3 linked regions of the Bombyx mori genome follow. The protein of the gene in region 3 binds, or shares a complex with, the protein of the main gene of each other region. Links are inferred from orthologs where the notes say so. Each region holds a gene or a part of one and is shown on either strand. Other genes may lie near its edges.

Region 1 (6,567 bases), on a different chromosome or scaffold from region 3:
AATTTAATCTGGCATTGTTTTTATACTTTTACGACCTCATTATGTTTCTTTTTAAATTCTTTGTAAGATTCTTTGTAAGGTCTTTGTAAGATTTCAGTTGTTCAAATATCACTGGTGGTAGGACCTCTTGTGAGTCCGTGCGGGTAGGTACCACCGCCCTGCCTATTTCTGCCGTGAAGCAGTAATGCGTTTCGATTTGAAGGGTGGGGCAGCCATTGTAACTATACTGAGATCTTAGAACTTATATCTCAAGGTGGGTGGCGCATTTATGTTGTAGATGTCCATGGGCTCCAGTAACCACTTAACACCAGGTGGGCTGTGAGCTCGTCCACCCATCTAAGCAATAAAAATAAAAAAACATTAACGTAAAAAACTTGCCGAAAATCTTAGTGTAGGTATATTTATTATGTATTAATTCACGCTACAATAGATACTAATATAATCACTCCGGACACTTGTCTTTAATAACAGTAGTTATGGCGAAAACATTGCAAACATTACGAAGTGTCTACCGCTTATTGCTGATAAGAGCGACTAATATTTTTGATATTTATTTTATTCTATTGGCTGTTTTTTTTTTCCTGTTATATCGCCAAATTCACGTGCTATAAAAAATCTCAATTCTCTTATTGTATTATTTATGTTCTACATAAGACCACAGGCGCGGGCTGCAAATAAGCCGTTTGAATTATTCTGGTCATTTTGAGGGTTTTTATTTAATTATTTTTTTATTGCTTGGATGGTTGAACGAGCTCACAGCCCACCTGGTGTTAAGTGGTACTGGAGCCCATAGACGTCTACAACGTAAATGCGCCACCCACCTTGAGATATAAGTTCTAAGGTTTCAGTATAGTTACAACGGCTGCCCCAACCTTCAAACCGAAACTCATTAAGTACTGCTTCACGGCAGAAACAAGCAGATTGGTGTTACCTACCCGTGCGCGCGGACTCACAAGAGGTCTTACCACCAGTAAAATGTTGAAATGCACAAATAAAATCAATGTTAATTTATTTTTTTCATTGAATATTTTTTTGGAAATTGACATAGCACTTTTTGAAATTCTTTTGGCTTTGGGAATGGATAATCGTTGCTTAAGTTTTGCCTCTTGACAGATGGCTCACGGTCATGGTCGACTCAACAGTCTAATTACTTGGAGTAGACTGGTGTAGACGATTTGACCAATTGTGTTTTGTGCCCACCAGTTAAGGTAACGCATCACTGTATGTCGCTGTCAACAGTCCTTAAAGTCGTCGTGGCCTAAAGGATAAGATGTGCGGTGCATTCGTGTTGAGCGATGTATCGGTGTTCGAATCTCAGGCGGGTACCAATTTTTCTAATGAAATACGTACTCAACAAATGTTCACGATTGACTTCCACGGTGAAGGAATAACATCGTGTAATAAAAATCAAACCCGCAAAATTATAATTTGCGTAATTACTGGTGGTAGGACCTTTTGTGAGTCCACGCGGCTAGGTACCACCATCCCGCCTATTTCTGCGGTAATGCGTTTCGGATTGAAGGGGGGGCAGCCGTTGTAACTATTGTGAGACCTTAGAACTTATATCTCAAGGTGGGTGGCGCATTTACGTTGTAGATGTCTATGGGCTCCAGTAACCACTTAACACCAGGTGGGCTGTGAGCTCGTCCACCCATCTAAGCAATAAAAAAAAAACTTCGTTGGTTCACCAGTAAAGAAATACATTCTTAACTTCATATATCTATTAGATCAAAAATTGCATTTAGTAAGGCTTTATTTTTATCATTAGCTTTGTCTTCGTCTAGTTTTAAATAAGAATTGTTTTTACTTTGTAAGAAAATTTTTGAATTTATTCACACAACAATAAAAACTATATCATGCTAACCGAATCAAACGAGAAACTCACTGCTGTACCACGATATCTTTTGTCGGCAACAATCCGTCTACAAACCTGTATTTCATCTGGAATTATAATGAATCGTTTTTAGTTAGTTACAAAAATAGACCACACATCATACTTTTAAAAGCGTAATACACAGCAATAAGACACTCGTGGATGTGTCCACAAAAGTGAATATTCTTAGCTATACACATGAAGGTCCCTTAGTCCTTATCGCGATAGGCAGTGTTTCGGTAAGCTCTTTGTAAAATGATGTCTTCTGAGATAAGAAATGTTGTGTGCGTGCTTTATTCCGTATGATGCTACGTATGAAACTGGGTAGTTAAGGTTTGGTTTTGTATTTATTAGGTTAATATAGCGTGACACAAATTCTAAGTGAGAAAGGGATAACGACTAGTCCTTGAAGCGTATGTGCTAATTATTTATTAGGCCAGTCGCCAATCTGTGGAATTACTTTTATATTACACTTTACGGGTAGGTACCACCACCCCGCCTATTTCTGCCGTGAAGCTGTAATGCGTTTCGGTTTGAAGGGTGAGGCAGCCGTTGTAACAATTCTGAGATCTTAGAACTTATGCCCCAAGGTGGGTGGCGGATTTACGTTGTAGATGTCTATGGGATCCAGTAACCATTAACACCGGGTGGACTGTGAGCTCGTCCACCCATCTAAGCAATAAAAAAAAATATCGTCATTAAAATTTAATGTCACATTTGTCTATAGCTTCTGAATGTTCATTGTCAACAGAAAAAGCGGCTATGACAGCGAGACGAGCGAATATTCAGAGGACTCGACGGCGGCTTACGAGGATGTGCAGACTTCAACCAAAAGCACTGGGTCGAGGAAGAATATCAACAGGGGAAGGTGGAGTAAAGAGGAGGTAATGCTTAGAAATGTTCCAACGCAAAACTCAAATGTCCGTAAACGTCTTGTATCTAATAATAGAATGAAATGGCTTACGTTCTTGAACTTGAAATTCTTGCGTTAATGTTGGGGCTATGACCCAAATATAATTTGGAGGAATGATTTTTCGCGTTTTTGTTGCCCAACAGTCGTGGTGGTACTTCTTGGATACGGCGCGATTCGGTATTAGGCTTGGCTTTGGTTTTACCAAGCGGTTCATCAGTCCCTTGGAATCGATAACGGAACGCTAGGCTCTAGCAAATAGCATCACTTGGTCTGTTCAAATGTGGCCCAGTAAAGGAGATGAGAAGTTACAATAAATCTACAAAGCCTCATGGTTTTTAGAGTTTAAAGACGTCACAGGGTTAAAGCTTTCACATTCAGACACGAGATAAGATCCTCAATTGTAATGAATAACGGTTATCCCGTACTTAAAACTGCATCGAATGACTGCTTCAAATCAATCTATCTATCTATATGTATAAAAATGAATTGCTGTTCGTTAGTCTCGCTAAAACTCGAGAACGGCTGGACCGATTTGGCTAATTTTGGTCCTGAATTATTTGTGGAAGTCCAGAGAAGGTTTTAAAAGGTAGATAAATTTGAAAATGCTCGGAATTAAATAAAAATAACAATTTTGTTTTTCCTTTGATGTCTTCCCCGTCGGACGGATTCCTTTTGTTTGTTGTAAGTTTATTCTATATAAAAGTTTAGATCTTTTATTTATCGATTGAGACACTAAGAAGCTTCCCGGGTCGGCTAGTACCTACCCTTATAAATTACTTACACAATCTTATAAATGCTTGTTCATTTGAAATCATATGTTTATGCAAAACAATAACCTTTGCAGTCTGAAAACGGCTAATTTGAATTCCGAAAAACGAGTTTTACATAATACATCTCTGCACATAGGCTAGTTTGTTGTAATTTTTTTTCAAATGTAATGAGAGTCATTGAAACCAACATTTTCCACGTGCATTATCGCGTATTGAATAACCGGTTATGAAGTACAATGAAGGAACTACCTTACATAATTCCAGTCCAGTAAGAATTCGCAATCGCTGCGGACTAATTTTGTGTCGTAATTTTACAAAGGAATTCATCTCATGGGTTTTCTTTTATTGTTGACGAAAAAGTCTAGTTTCCGAACGTAAGTGGTAACTTCTGTCCAGTCACTGGGGAAATTGAGGGTCATAGATCGTTTGATGAGCTCACGATCCATCCGATGTGAAGGATCGAGCTTATGGGCACCATAGTACAATGTACACCCATGTTAACATGTTCTTCAAACTGGAACACATGATTGGTTTGCGGTAGAAATTGGCATAAGATAGGCGCAACTCAGCATAGTAACTAGGGAGCTCAGGTGTTAAGTCGGTAGTGTGGATTAAACAGACACAGCCCACTGAGTTTCTCGCCTGATCTTCTCAGTGGGTCGCGTTTCCGAACCGGTGCTAGATTCTGCGAAGCACAGTTCTTGTTAGGGTTCGTGTTAGCAACATCGTCAGGTTTGAGCCCCGTGAGCTCACCTACTAGTTAAGGTTGCGCTGAAATGGTCTTTCAAGACCTTCAGCTTAGCTAGGATAAAAAAAAAGTAGTGTCGATACAGACCTGAACTTAAGAATCTTGCTTTCTTTTTCAGGACAAGAAACTAAAAGCATATGTTAGGACTTACAAAGAGAATTGGGAGCGCATAGCGGCCGAGTTTCCTGACCGTTCCGACGTTCAGTGCCTTCAAAGATGGACGAAAGTCGTCAACCCTGAACTAGTCAAAGGCCCTTGGACCAAAGAGGTAAGTGTCAAGTTGTTTTGGCTTTTTTCGAAACTGCTATTAGGTATTATGGTATTGCCCACTGAGTTTCCCGCCGGATCTTCTCAGTGGGTCGCGATTCCGATCCGGTGGTAGATTCTTCGAAGTACTGCTCTTGTTATGCCTAGTGTTAGCAAATTCTCTCAGGTTGAGCCCGTGAGCTAGCTACTAGCGAATAGTTAGGGAACATATTATGGTTATATTAAACAATAATATAATAGTCTAGTCAACAAGTTCAAAAACGTGTTAAATAGACATAAAGCTCCTAAAAATATGTACGATAGCTCATTGGATGCGGAATGATGTCTACAAAAATGTTTTTTAAGGGCTTATTAGCACATAAAAAATTGCGATTGTTATAAACAAAATAAGATTTAAAAAAAAAGGAATTTGGTTTTTCCTTAATTATTTCTAAAATAATGATATTTAAGGAATTTTGAAAAAAAGATCCTGAAAGAGGAGGAAATTTCCAATAAAAAAGTCCCAACTTCCAGAATTCTATCTCTATTATTTATAAAAAAAAATTAACGCTGAAAATAGCGCTCCGCGAGGTCGTTACGCCATAGGCGCGCCGTCTAAAAAGCCGGTATATCACCTAAAATATTTTTTTTATAGTATTAAATAACAATTTAAAAATTTGAATAAATTATGGTGTAATCTAAACACTTGAACGAAAAAAACCTCGGTGAAAAAAAAATTTTATATCGATTTTTCAAAAATTTACACCATTGTTAATTAACTAACTTTTTTCCAATCTCTGTTTTTATAAATTACGGTATAAAAGTTACAATAATTCATCTATAAATTTTTCCCTTCGTGGAGCTCTTATCATTTAAGTACTTAATAAAGTTAAGCAAAAAAATTTTTTTAATCTTTATTATTTTGATAAGTAATTATAATTTTTTTTAATTAACAGAAAAATTAAATTTCTAAAAAATGTTATGAAAAATAGTTTTTTTTCGTAATATCTTAATATTGCTGTTTTTGCATCCACAATAGGTATTAATTAACATTTAAAAAAAAAATTTTACGCTGTTTGTTAAGAAATTGTTTATAAATAAATAGACTATTTTGGGATTTAAAAAAAGAAAAAAATTACCGTCTTATTCCATAGGTGAAATAAAGATTTAAAAAAAAAAAATTTCTTAAATAAATGTTTTAATTGTTTAAAATCGTTTTTTTTCATATTTCAATTGTTTAAATAATTAGTTAAGAAATTATTTTTTCTTAAAAATCATCATTGACTCTTTTCAGCGGATTAACAAAGAAATACATTTTTTTATAAATAATTTCATTGTTTATTAACTTAACAATTTGTTATAAAAAAATAATATTAATCGTTATATTTTTTTTCGAAGACTACAAAAAATTACAAAAACAACCATACATAACAAAATATAGAAAAAAAAAAATTTGTATTTTTTACAGCATTTTTAGATATTATATGATAATGAAATTACAGCCGTTACATAATTTGTCAAGCTATAAATTGTTATAACTTTTAAACTATAAGAGATACGGTAAAGGACACTCAGGTCATTTTTATAAAGGATTTATTTATCTTTAAAATAAATTCAAAATCGATCCTGTAACTATTGTTTATCAGTTGTTATACAACAAGCTCATTCAAATCGCTTATGTAAAATTCGTTGATAAATAGAGATATGTATATTATAATGAAATAGTTTCAAGTGTGTGTGTGTGTGTGTGTGTGTTCAGAAGTTAGCTTAACTACGAAATCGTTTTTCTGGTATATGTGATTATTTAAAGCGGATTGAAAAGTAAAAGTGAAACGTTAAGATAAAAAGTATTTGTTTTATTATATCCGATTATTATATTTATTATATTAGTTCCGGTGACAACAACAAAATAGTAGTTCGTTCGATCCCTAAAAACCCGGTAAAACATTCCATACGTCGGAAACAATAAAATTAAAATAATGAAACACGAGATTGAAAAAAGTAAAAAGTAGTTTAA
Region 2 (6,421 bases), on a different chromosome or scaffold from region 3:
CGGAGCGTGGTGCAAGAGAGAGGATCAAAACTTGTGTCTGAAGTGGAGAACTCTCTGGGGCGAGTCTCCGAATGGGGTGAATTGAACTTGGTTCAATTCAACCCGATAAAGACACAAGTTTGCGCGTTCACTGCGAAGAAGGACCCTTTTGTCATGGCGCCGGAATTTCAAGGAGTATCCCTGCAGCTTTTCGCGAGTATCGGGATTCTGGGGGTCGATATTTCGAGCGATGTTCAATTTCGGAGTAATTCGGAAGGTAAAGCCAAATTGGCCTATAAAATGTTGGGAGTCCTCAACAGAGCGAAGTGGTATTTCACGCCTGGGCAGATACTTGCGCTTTATAAAGCGCAGGTCCAGCCTCGCGTGGAGTACTGCTCTCACCTCTGGGCCGGGGCTCCCAAATACCAGCTACTTCCATTTGACTCCATACAGAAACGGGCTGTTCGGATGGTCGATAGTCCCACTCACGCGGATCGCTTGGAACCTCTGGGTCTACGGAGGGACTTCGGTTCTCTCTGTGTTTTATACCGTATGGTCCATGGGGAATGCTCTGAGGAATTATTCGAGATGATCCCCTCATCTCCTTTTTATCATCGCACCTCCCGCCATCGGAGCAGAGTTCATCCGTATCTGGAACCGCTGCGTTCATCGACAGTGCGTTTCCAAAGATCTTTTTTGCTTGGTACCATCCGGCTTCGGAATGAACTCCCCTCCACGGTGTTTTCCGAGCGCTATGACATGTCCTTCTTCAAACGAGGCTTGCGGAGAGTACTTAATGGTAGGCAGCGGCTTGGCTCTGCTCCTGACATTGCTACGTTCATGAGCGACGGTGACCACTTACCATCAGGTGGGCCGTATGCTCGTCTGCCTACAAAGGCAATAAAAAAATAAAAAATATAATGTGCCATGCTAACTATCTGTTTGATTTTTAATGTTAAGCGTACCAACAACCAGTAAAACGTATGATTAAATTGTTGATGGATAGCAGACAACACAAAGCCAACATGGGAAATTTCAGTCTAAAAAAATTTAATTTTAACTGTTGATTTATTTATATTTAAAAAGAAAAGTATCTCTGTTTGATCAAATCGACATGTACTAATGTTTCTCAACCTCTAAAGTTCTTATAGTCTCATATTTATTACCTGCATTGGGCATTCAACCTAAGGGGCTAACGGTATCTCAATCTATTACAATAACAGTTTGAGCTATGGTTCGATAGCTGTTGGTTTTAGGAAAAACGAGTATGTGAGTTTGAGATAGTGTTTTTTAAGAAGTATCGAGTTGATGATGTTTATTTAATAATACATCCCCGCAGACTATTGAGATTCAACCTATAATCATATTTGTAGACATTAAATAGTCATGGCGCCGCAATTCCAAGGAGTATCCCTGCAATCTTCCGAGAGTATCGGGATACTTGGGGTCAACATTTCGAGCGATGTCCAGTTTCGGAGTCATTTGGAAGGCAAAGCCAAGTTGGCGTCCAAAATGCTGGGAGTCTTCAATAGAGCGAAGCGGTACTTCATGCCTGAACAAAGGCTTTTGCTTTATAAAGCACAAGTCCGGCCTCGCGTGAAGTACTGCTCCCATCTCTGGGCCGGGGCTCCAAAATACCAGCTTCTGCCATTTGACTCCATACAGAGGATGGCCGTTCGGATTGTCGATAATCCCATTCTCACGGATCGTTTGGAACCTCTGGGTCTACGGAGGGACTTCGGTTCCCTCTGTATTTTGTACCGTATATTCCATGAGGAGTGCTCTGAGGAATTGTTCGAGATGATACTATCTGGAGCCACTGCGGTCATCCACAGTGCGTTTCCAGAGGTCTTTTTTGCTACGCACTATCCGGCTATGGAATGAGCTTCCCTCCACGATGTTTCCCCGTGCGCTATGACATGTACGTCTTCAAACGAGGCTTGTGGAGAGTATTAAGCGGTAGGCAGCGGCTTGGCTCTGCCCCTGGCATTGCTGAAGTCCATCCACTCACCATCAGGTGGGCCGTATGCTCGTCTGCCAACAAGGGCCGGAAAAAAATTATTGTAATCTCATAAATGCTTTTTTATGGTAGCTTAGTTTTTATATATACACAAGGTTCTACAATAAATACTGGAAGAACGAGTAGTGATATTGTTTCATAATCGTAAAAATATCAGAAATGATACTATACCACTAAAAAAAAAGTAAGTGACCATAACATTGTAGAAAAATAACGTAACAACGTGAAGAAACTGAATCCGAACAGACTATTATGAACAAGAAAGACATGGGGCCATGCATGAAGTTTAATAATTAAATTAACCTCATGCATGGCGCACTTCGGAAAACATTTTTAAATTCTTGCGATGGCAAGGACATTAAATGCGTACATCTACACCTAAAAACAAAATGGCGATTGAGAATTGGCGCCTTTTTGTTTTTTTTTCACATCTAGCAACTATTGAATAGTACCACGTGAACTACCTCATCCAATCAGCTGGTAAATCCAAAAATCCCGCCTCTTGCATCGTTTCCTTCTCGTCCCGCGCTGCGTTGGTGATGGTGCTTGGATTCGCGCATTTAATATACTTTAATTAAATGTTAAAAGTTTATCAATGTTACATATATTAATAGAAACTTTAAACTGTAAAAGGTTCATTTATCGGTTCAAAAATTGGCTATAGTTTTGGTTCTAACCCATATTTTTGTCGCCATTTTGACCTGTGATTTTGGTCATACGAATTGAGTAGGTATTATTTAATTTGTTTCGTCATCAACAATTGTCCTACGTTGTTCTTATGAAACATAAATGGACGTCCAAATTCAAGGAGTGTGGAGAAAATGTCCCAAACTAATAGTACAATAAATTACCTTATCCATGATGCTAACGGTTAGTAGAGGTGCTACTTTAGTTTACGTGACACTTGTTTTTCCTATCGGATTTAAGACTTTGTATTGCAAACAAAGCCTAGATCAATTGGACCAAACTCAAGACTAGTAGCTTAGCTTTAGTTATTATCTTCGACGCCTTTTATTCTGCCGAAATAAACATCATCACAGCGTTTGTTTATTACGGAGATATTTTTTGTTTCAATCAGCTGATGGCACCGACGCTTCAGTAAGTCTTTAATTTAGATTATAAATACATAAAGACTCGATGATATGTCCTGCAGGACTTCCTCAAGTGGTGAAAGTGCTGGAAACTACAAGTAAACCACTGATTGCTCAAATCGAAGCAGAACCGAAAGAGAGTCCAGTTAAAATTGTTACTGTATCACCTGTTCCGGTCAAATGTGCAAAGGTATGATTATTCGCAATTTTTTTATATATGAAACCACTATATGTTTTACATATATTATTATAAACATTATTTATTTACGCTTCATTAGACTAAACTTTTAGTTAGAGTAGTAATGTATATGTTGAATAAACTTTTAATAAACAGAACGAACGAAATGACATGAAATATAATAATAATTACTTTCCTTTGTCACTGTGGTTAACCTAAGCTTTTGGGGTTCTAATATAATTTAGATTTAGTTGGGTGAACTGAGCCTACCTATGCCCTTATGCCCTACTGTAATTTGATTTGAATTTGAAAAATATTCTACAACTAATGAGGACTCCCTAGTTCTTGTATTTTTTTATTACTAGATAGGTGGATGAGCTCATGATCCACCTGGTCTAAAATGGTTACTGGAGCTTATGGACATCTACAATGTAATTGCCTCCATCCACCACGAGACTAGTTCTAAAGTCTCAGTACTTACATCTTACATAGGTCAATAGGTACCAAACCAGAATTAGCAATTTGATTATCATTTACCATTCAGTTTTATATGAGTATACTCTTTAACAGATACCTGTTCCAGCCAGTTTTGCAAGATTTGGAATTGTTCAATACAAACAAAGTAAGTTTTCAGCATGACAGGGTTTGTTGACAGAAAGTAGAAAGTAACCAAGAATCCTATTTAATATATAACTGTATATTTTATTGCTTAGATGGCTGGATGAGCTCATGGCTCACCCGGTGTTAAGTGGTTACCGGAGACATCAACAGTCAATGCCGCCGTCAACCTTGAGACACAAGTTCTAAAATGTCAGTTTTTACAGTATAATAACATATACTCCACCCTTCAAAGTGAAATGCATCTGCTTCACAGCAGAAATAGGCATGGTGTAATAGCAAATAATTTAGCTTCTTGCATACATTTGAGACTTCAACCTCATTTCTCAATGTAATCATACATGTAATTTAGTGCTTTGCGAATTGTTAGGTACATCTACATCCAAAAAAATTTAATAAAAATAAAGTGAGCAAGTAGTAATGAATGTCAAATATATACAAATTTAGGAAGTATTTTGTTACTAAAATTTTGCACACTATATTAATCTTAGTTCTGGGTGTTTTAGTATCACTGTTTACAAGTATCAATACTTCTGCTATGGAACATAATCTAATTTTTAATACATACATACACTATAAAAAGAACATCTTGATTGACTATCCAATATTAAAATAATCCACATGATGGTGGTAATTAATGTTAGATAAGCTGATTTATGAACAAACTTATATAATTTGAATTAGTCCATCAATTCACTTCATTATACATTTCAAAATTATGGTGAGAAATTATGCCTACAATATAAACATACATATAAATCAATAAGTATCACCCCTCTTAGAGATCTGAAGTTGTAATATCAATTGTTTTATATAAGGGCTGTCCGGCCCATCAAACCAGAACTCTCGACTGCTTTGTGGCAGAAATAGCCAAAATAGTGATATCTATTTACTCAAGTGGTCTTAAGATACTTCCCACTAACAGATATTACACAATGTCTTAAGACACAATAAGATCCAAATGATTAATGGAGGTTTTGAACCTTGTCATAGCCACATCACTTGATATAAATTCATCAGGTGTCTTACGATTCCGATTTCGCAGTGGAGATTTTCCTGTTGAGTCTGTAATTATTGTCACCACTGTCTAACCTTGTTCTTAAAGGCTGTTTTGCAATAGTCAAAGATCACGTTTACTAGTCTCTATACAGTAAAAGTTTATTATTCGCGGGGTTGAAGCATAATAAAAATATGCCGCGAATACAGTAACCGTGAATAGGGAAGGGTAATTTGCGTATATGGAGGTTATAGGGGACTCTTCGCCTCGAACTCGACTGAACGACGGGGGTGCCACACCACCGAACATCCCCCGGTGTGATAGTTCCCTGCCGGAGATCTACTTTGCACAGTGTGCAGTCAGGTGGGAACTCCGACTCCTGGACGTTCATAAGTCGAGTGGGCCAGACGGCAACCCTGCAGTGGTTCTAAAAACGTGCGCCCCTGAGCTGACGCCTGCGCTAACGCGTTTGTATCGCCTCTCTTATTGCACTAACAGGGTTCCGTCTTCATGGAAGACCGCCCACATCCACCCTATCCCCAAGAAGGGTGACCGGTCGGACCCATCGAGCTATAGACCTATCGCGATAGCTTCATTGCTTTCCAAGGTGATGGAGCGAATAATAAATATACAACTCCTGAAGTATCTTGAGGATCGCCAGCTGATCAGTGACCGGCAGTACGGTTTCCGTCACGGTCGCTTAGCTGGCAATCTTCTTGTATACCTTACTCACACAGGTGGGCTGAAGCCTTGGAGAGCAAGGGTGAGGCTCTTGCTGTGAGCCTTGATATCGCAAAGGCCTTCGACATGGTCTGGCATAGGGCACTTCTGTCAAAGCTACCATCTTACGGAATCCCCGAGGGTCTGCAAGTAGATCGCTAGCTTTTTGGATGAGCGGAGCATCACGGTCGCTGTAGACGGTAACTGTTCTGATACCATGACCATTAACGCTGGCGTTCCACGTGTATATCGATGACATGCTGTCTATTGATGCCATGCATTGCTATGCGGATGACAGCACGGGGGATGCGCGATATATCGGCCATCAGAGTCTCTCGGAGCGTGGTGTAAGAGAGACAATCAAAACTTGGAAGTTGTCTGAAGTGGAGAACTCTCTGTGGCGAGTCTCCGAATGGGACAACCCGTTAAAAACACAAGTTTGCGCGTTCACTGCAAAGCAGGACCCCTTTGTCATGGCGCCGCAATTCCAAGGAGTATCCCTGCAACCTTCCGAGAGTATCGGGATACTTGGGGTCGACATTTCGAGCGATGTCCAATTTCGGAGTCATTTGGAAGGCAAAGCCTAGTTGGCGTCCAAAATGCTGGGAGTCCTCAACAGAGCGAAGCGGTACTTCACGCCTGGACAAAGGCTTTTGCTTTATAAAGCACAAGTCCGGCCTCGCGTGGAGTACTGCTCCCATCTCTGGGCCGGGGCTCCCAAATACCAGCTTCTTCCATTTGACTCCATACAGAAGAGGGCCGTTCGGATTGTCGATAATCCCATTCTCACGGATCATTTGGAACCTCTGGGTCTGCGG
Region 3 (6,455 bases):
CCCAATAGGTTTTTCAGGATTATCCATTCTTTCTGGGACACCCTGTATACATGAGTTAGTTCGGTAAAACCAAAAGGCTCTTTAGTAACCAAATAAAAAATATACAAACTACAAAACAAATTAAAAAAATACATTTTGTAGTCAAGCTTCATTGGTAAGCACAGCTATTTGTATACTTCTTCTAAATTCTTTTCAATGCCATATTTTATTTTTCCGAATGTAAATGATTTACCTGGAATTTAAATTATTTACGAATCAATAATCTACAAGAAAATATTGCATTAACCTACTACTACTAATCATCTCTAATAAATGAAGTTCGAATTTAAAGTCCATATGTTGAAATAAATTTGATCGTCCTGTTTATCTTGACTTGGGTAAAGCAATGAAATAAATTATAGGAGAACTTTATATCAAAATGAGTAAAAATAGTAAAATGGGTATCGAGATATATTCAATTTCGAAATCACAATAGTATTTCGATTTTAAATAGCTACACATCCTTAAGTTGAATTGAAGAATGAAAATTTTTAAGGTACAAATTCCTGAAACCTTTGCTACAAGTTCACGTGAACTAATTTCAGTGTTACAATATTAATATGATTTCTAGTTCCTAAGTTTCTTCTACCTTCCAAGGTGAATTCTACCATTTCCTTGGACATAATTAGGAATGTACGTAAGGAGTATAAAATTACGCACTTGCCGTAAACTGCAGCTTCTTCAATCTTTCAATTCCCAAAGATACATTTTGTTACAATTTTATTTAAAACTAGCTGACCTGGCAGACTTCGTAGTACCTCAATCGATCAATGAAAGAAAAAAGAAATTCACCCGACCGGGGACACATCAAAGGAAAAACAAAATTGTTATTTTTATTTAATTCCGAGCATTTTCATATTTATCTACCTTTTAAACCTTCTCTGGTCTTCCACAAATAATTCAAGACCAAAATTAGTCAAATCGGTTCAGCCGTTCTCGAGTTTTAGCGAGACTAAGTTAGAACAACAATTCATTTTTATATATATAGATAAATGAATTGCTAAAAAAATGAATATATATATATATATAAAGATTCAGCTGTGGTAGTTTTTTAGAATATCGTATCCTTTATGTTGACCGTGTATTTCTAATAACATAAGAGGCAACGTGCGGAATTCTACGAATGGTTCTATTAAATTTTATATAAAAAATGCAGTAGGTAAGTTTTGTTGTGTATTGTGGTGACCACACACCATCAAGTAGACCGTATGGTTGTCAGCATAAGTATATTGCCAATAAATTCAATGATGATGATGATGATGATGATATGAAAATTTTCCCTCAGTATAGACTTTTCCACTTGGAACTTGAACTTGCTACCTTGAACAATATAGATAAATATACTTGAGACCTTAGAAAGGTGGGTGGCGCATTTACGTTGTAGATGTCTATGGGCTCCAGTAACCACTTAAGACCAAGTGGGTTGTGAGCTCGTCCACCCATCTAAGCAATAAAAAAAATGCTACTAACAATAAAAATCTATTAATATTACCATCTATTTTTTTCCCCTGCCTATTCCCTGGGAGCCAAATAGAGAGACACACAATTGAAATTTAATCAAAGAACCATTTTTCTAACAGAATTTTATAACCTTGTATTTTAAAAGTGTTTGCTCTTCTCTTAAAAAAATAAGATAATGAGGGATATTCCGTGCCTGAACTAGGTAAACATTTCGCGGAAGAGCCGCAGTTGAGGAGCTAAAGAGCAGCATGCGAGCCGCAAGCCGATCGCTGGCCTAAGGGGCTGTTCTAGCTGCCAAGTAATTCATGCTTATGATTGTAATGCTACTACCTACTGTGAACTGTGGCTTCACTTGATTTCTATATTTAATCTACTAAAAATCATTCAATTTAATCAATTCATTCATTCGTTCATTGAATATCTGTAACTTTTAGGTCAGTCAACTTCACTGTAATGAAATTGTCGTACTCTGAAGTTGCATTTTGTTCATCTTTCAATTATTTTATGAAGTTTTTTTGTGTGGATTGTCAAATTAAAGCACAGCGGTGTGGTTTTTATTTCTCTTTAACATTTTTAAGTATATTGTAATAATTTTATTAAAAAGTAACCGTTGAAGAAATAATTAAAAATGTCTATGCAACCGCACAGTAAGAAAAGAGTGTGTTACTATTATGACAGTAAGTAAAATAAAGTTTTACCCGCCACGGATCTCCATTACATCGCTAGTAACTTAAGAATTAGTTTTTGTATTATAAATAATTAATATGCGTAGTATTCATATTTTAAATACAAATTTCCACACGGCCTAGCTCTTTTAAGAACTTCAGAGATTTTAAAGCTTGTCTTAGGATTTTTATGACATTGTTAACTCAGTTCATTGTTTCATTTTACGACGTCTGTACAGCGTTCCGCGTTCCTATTGGGTACACGGACTTGCTCGTATTACGATGTACGAGGTACAGACGGCTAAATATGAAGCCGTAAAATGATTTAAGTAACATGTTAATAAAAAGTTGAAAATAATGCGTGTTATTTTTATTAAAGGCGATATTGGAAACTACTATTACGGACAAGGGCATCCAATGAAACCTCACCGCATACGTATGACCCACAATTTACTCCTCAACTATGGACTCTATCGAAAAATGGAGATTTATGTGAGTACTGAAATTACCTTTTAAGTGTAAGTTCTTCAATGATTTGAGATTTTATAATTATATATTTTTAAACAGAGGCCTCACAAAGCCACAGCTGATGAAATGACAAAATTCCATTCAGATGATTACATTAGATTCCTGCGTTCTATTCGACCTGACAATGTTTCTGAGTACAACAAACAAATGCAGAGATGTAAGTTATTACTAATTATTATCAATATTATTTAAAAAAAGTATTAATTATTCATAAATGCTTTAATGAAAATGTATTACCCTTGAAGACTTACCTGTTAAAGCTAATATAACAGTAGAGTTACTTATTTAGTGTGTTATTTTATATTAAACTATATTTTTTCAGTGTATAATATTATAATAGATTTGTCCCACAGTTTCAACTATGTTCAGCTTACAATAATGTGAATCTACTACAGTGGAATCTTACTATATTCATAATTTGTATAAAAAGATGATGAAAATAATAGATTGAATACAGCATATTTTGTGTAAAATTGTGGAAAATTCCTTTGATTCACTGCTATGACACTGAAAAAAATTCCTAAATTCAAATCTTTGACTATACCACAGCATCTAGTTGTGTCAGTCAATTGTCACACTGCTTGATAAGTATAGATATAACATACCAAAATTATAAAGAAAAAAAACTACTTTCCTGTATGAGCACTCTCCTTGTCTGCAGCCTGTTTAGTTGAAACCAATGTATCTGCTGTTTATTGCAGGAAGAAAACCTTTATAATGTACATATTTATTTAAAGAGTATGGTGAAAATGGTGTACAATCCTATTGGTTTTTTGTTAAAGTTCCTATAGTTCAAAGCATCAACCAAATTATTTTTGACCTATCCCTCAATCTACTGATGGGTAATATCCTATAAACTACATACCTTTATTAGTGCCTGATCACATTCAGGGATGATATGGAAAATATTCAACTTATTGAATGTGACTAATTTTAATATACATTTTGCAGTTAATGTAGGTGAAGATTGTCCTGTTTTTGATGGCCTGTATGAATTTTGTCAGTTGTCTGCTGGGGGTTCAGTTGCAGCAGCTGTAAAACTGAATAAGCAGGTAATTAGTCTTATTTTTTTATTTATTTTATTTTGTTAAAACAAGTTTTTCAGTTTAATTAGTGGCGATGAAAACTGTAATTTATTTAAAAAATCAGAAATAATATAACAGCAATTGTATACATGACATTAAACAATAAAAGTAGTTTTAATTACATCCTCTACTTACATATGCCAATGAGAAAGTATTATTTTCATTTGTTAAAATTATTATAATTTTACCTTTTTAGTGTTTTAACTTTAAAATGGTTAAAGACAGATGAGCCCCAACCTGATATTAACTGATACTGTGTCAGAGATGAATAGAACACTTAAATTGTGTTTATATTGATTTTAAAACAATAAAACAATAGATTTTTCTTATCTTGTGAGATTTCTAATTTGATTCTGCAAGTTTTCTTAATTTTATAATTATATAGTTATATAGGTTTCATTTATAGTTATTTATAACTATAAAATTAAAACATGTTTGTACTGATTTTATTATTGTTATAATTTTTTTTTTCCTTACACTATAAGTTAGATTAGTTTTCGTTATCGTGTTGTTTTGTCGTAATTGTAAGGAACGTTGATATACAAATTCAGCACTTTATAGTTTTGTCGTGCGCACATAACTTATGTTGCAAGCCAGATTTTGTTTTTTTTTTATTTGTGTTTTTTATGTATCTTTAGCTTGTGATGTGTATTGTGAGCCTAATAAAAAATAAAAAAAATAAATTGTTTTAGGCCTCAGAAATATGCATAAACTGGGGTGGTGGCCTCCATCATGCAAAGAAGTCTGAAGCGTCAGGTTTCTGTTATGTTAATGACATTGTTCTTGGCATATTGGAGTTGCTGAAATACCATCAAAGAGTACTATATATTGACATAGATGTGCATCATGGTGATGGTGTTGAAGAAGCTTTCTACACCACGGACAGAGTAATGACCGTTTCCTTTCATAAATATGGAGAATATTTTCCTGGAACAGGTGATTACATTACTTATTTCTATTTAAACTTGTTCAAAACATTAAAGTTTATTTGAGTAATATTGAATGATTAGCACAAAGATATTTGTACCTTTTTATCACATGAAACTGAGAAAGATAAGTAATTGCAGCACTGCATTTGTTACCTTGTACATACAGCGCTGACTGTACACTCTACATCTAAAAGGTGTGTACACAATTTTACAATGATTGTACATTTTTCTGATCTAACAAAAGAGTAATATGACTCATTTAAAAACTGCTACTGGGAGAAAAAAATTAAATTATCTCGAAGATATCTCATCTCATCTTGGGGTTTTCCTATAAAGATTTTATATATGGCAATAATTGATTATCATAATATTACAGGTGATTTGCGGGACATTGGTGCTGGTAAAGGCAAATACTATGCTGTAAATATACCCCTTCGTGATGGAATGGATGATGAGTCATATGAGTCTATCTTTGTTCCCATTATATCTAAAGTTATGGAGACATTCCAACCAAGTGCTGTAGTACTACAGTGTGGTGCTGATTCTCTGACAGGTAACTATAATAACTCTAACTTTATAACTCTTGTGTCACTTTTTATTTGTCCAAGCTATTTGCTTAATCTAATTTTTTATGAAATTGAATTGATTCTGAATGTCGTAAAATCACTCATACCAATTAATAACTAAATAATAAAAATTTAGTTAATTACTGTAACTAAAATACCTATTTTTATTATACAAGGTGACAGATTGGGTTGTTTCAACTTGACTGTTCGAGGTCATGGACGCTGTGTAGAACTTGTCAAGAGGTTTGGACTTCCATTCTTACTAGTCGGCGGAGGCGGGTAAGTTGTTTTAAATATAAGACTATGTTTCACTTTTAGATAGAAACTGAATCATTATCTTTACTACTTAAGATATTTAAATTACTAGGTCAAAATAATGTAATCTCTTAATTTTTTCACAACAACTAGACTATTTTCTTTAACCATCTTTTCATTGCTTCATGTGTAATAAATTTCACAGATATACCATACGTAATGTATCTCGCTGTTGGACTTACGAGACATCTGTTGCACTTGGTGTGGAAATAGCCAATGAACTACCATATAATGACTACTTTGAGTACTTTGGGCCCGATTTCAAACTACACATATCACCAAGTAACATGTCCAATCAAAACACACCCGAATATCTGGAAAAGATAAAAAATAGACTGTTCGAGAATCTCAGAATGCTCCCACATGCGCCAGGAGTACAAGTAAGTGTTTTCCAAATTACTACATGACTAGATAAAGTTCTGATTACGATTGTTAGTTTTAACGTGTTTCCGATATTTCGCCGCTGCTGCAAACGCCATGTGGTAGGATGTTCGGAATAGATACATCTATCTCTCTAGTACTTTTTCAGTTGTTACCTAAGTTTTTCTTGTCCAATAATAATAATCAATCAAATAATAAGCAAGATTCGTAAGCGGGGTCTCTTAGTACAGGCTTGCACGCTTAAAAGGAGACCCCAATCATTGTATTATTTTAACTCGCTTTTGAAAATAAAGTAGTTTTGTATTTTGTAATTTTTTTTGTAGGCATATTTTTTTACGTTGTTTACTTTTTAAAACATCACTAAAATTCTTTATTCCTCTAGGTGCAAGCCATACCTGAAGATGCTGTCAATGATGAGTCAGATGATGAAGATAAAATAGACAAAGATGAGAGATTACCACAGAGTGATAAGGTATGATTTAAAAG

Evidence for each region. Proteins that work in one complex are often made in the same cells at the same time.
Region 1: histone deacetylase HDAC1 (region 3) and Myb share a complex: the UniProt entries of both Drosophila melanogaster proteins name them as parts of the DREAM complex. The link is inferred for Bombyx mori from reciprocal best matches to the Drosophila melanogaster genes HDAC1 and Myb.
Region 2: histone deacetylase HDAC1 (region 3) and transcription factor Dp-1 share a complex: the UniProt entries of both Drosophila melanogaster proteins name them as parts of the DREAM complex. The link is inferred for Bombyx mori from reciprocal best matches to the Drosophila melanogaster genes HDAC1 and Dp.

What each region holds. Positions count from the first base shown.
Region 1 is NC_085134.1:9,634,338-9,640,904, reverse strand, and holds the start of Myb (Myb transcription factor), read left to right. Parts: upstream 1-2,607; coding exon 2,608-2,757; intron 2,758-4,422; coding exon 4,423-4,572; intron 4,573-6,567. UniProt on the Drosophila melanogaster protein: DNA-binding protein that specifically recognizes the sequence 5'-YAAC[GT]G-3'. Component of the DREAM complex, a multiprotein complex that can both act as a transcription activator or repressor depending on the context.
Region 2 is NC_085110.1:8,924,311-8,930,731, forward strand, and holds the start of transcription factor Dp-1, read left to right. Parts: upstream 1-2,461; 5' UTR 2,462-2,820; coding exon 2,821-2,869; intron 2,870-3,152; coding exon 3,153-3,280; intron 3,281-3,838; coding exon 3,839-3,890; intron 3,891-6,421. UniProt on the Drosophila melanogaster protein: Component of the DREAM complex, a multiprotein complex that can both act as a transcription activator or repressor depending on the context. In follicle cells, the complex plays a central role in the site-specific DNA replication at the chorion loci.
Region 3 is NC_085117.1:13,609,552-13,616,006, reverse strand, and holds the start of histone deacetylase HDAC1, read left to right. Parts: upstream 1-1,913; 5' UTR 1,914-2,128; coding exon 2,129-2,177; intron 2,178-2,544; coding exon 2,545-2,657; intron 2,658-2,732; coding exon 2,733-2,850; intron 2,851-3,644; coding exon 3,645-3,745; intron 3,746-4,470; coding exon 4,471-4,714; intron 4,715-5,083; coding exon 5,084-5,260; intron 5,261-5,449; coding exon 5,450-5,552; intron 5,553-5,733; coding exon 5,734-5,968; intron 5,969-6,351; coding exon 6,352-6,441; intron 6,442-6,455. UniProt on the Drosophila melanogaster protein: Catalyzes the deacetylation of lysine residues on the N-terminal part of the core histones (H2A, H2B, H3 and H4).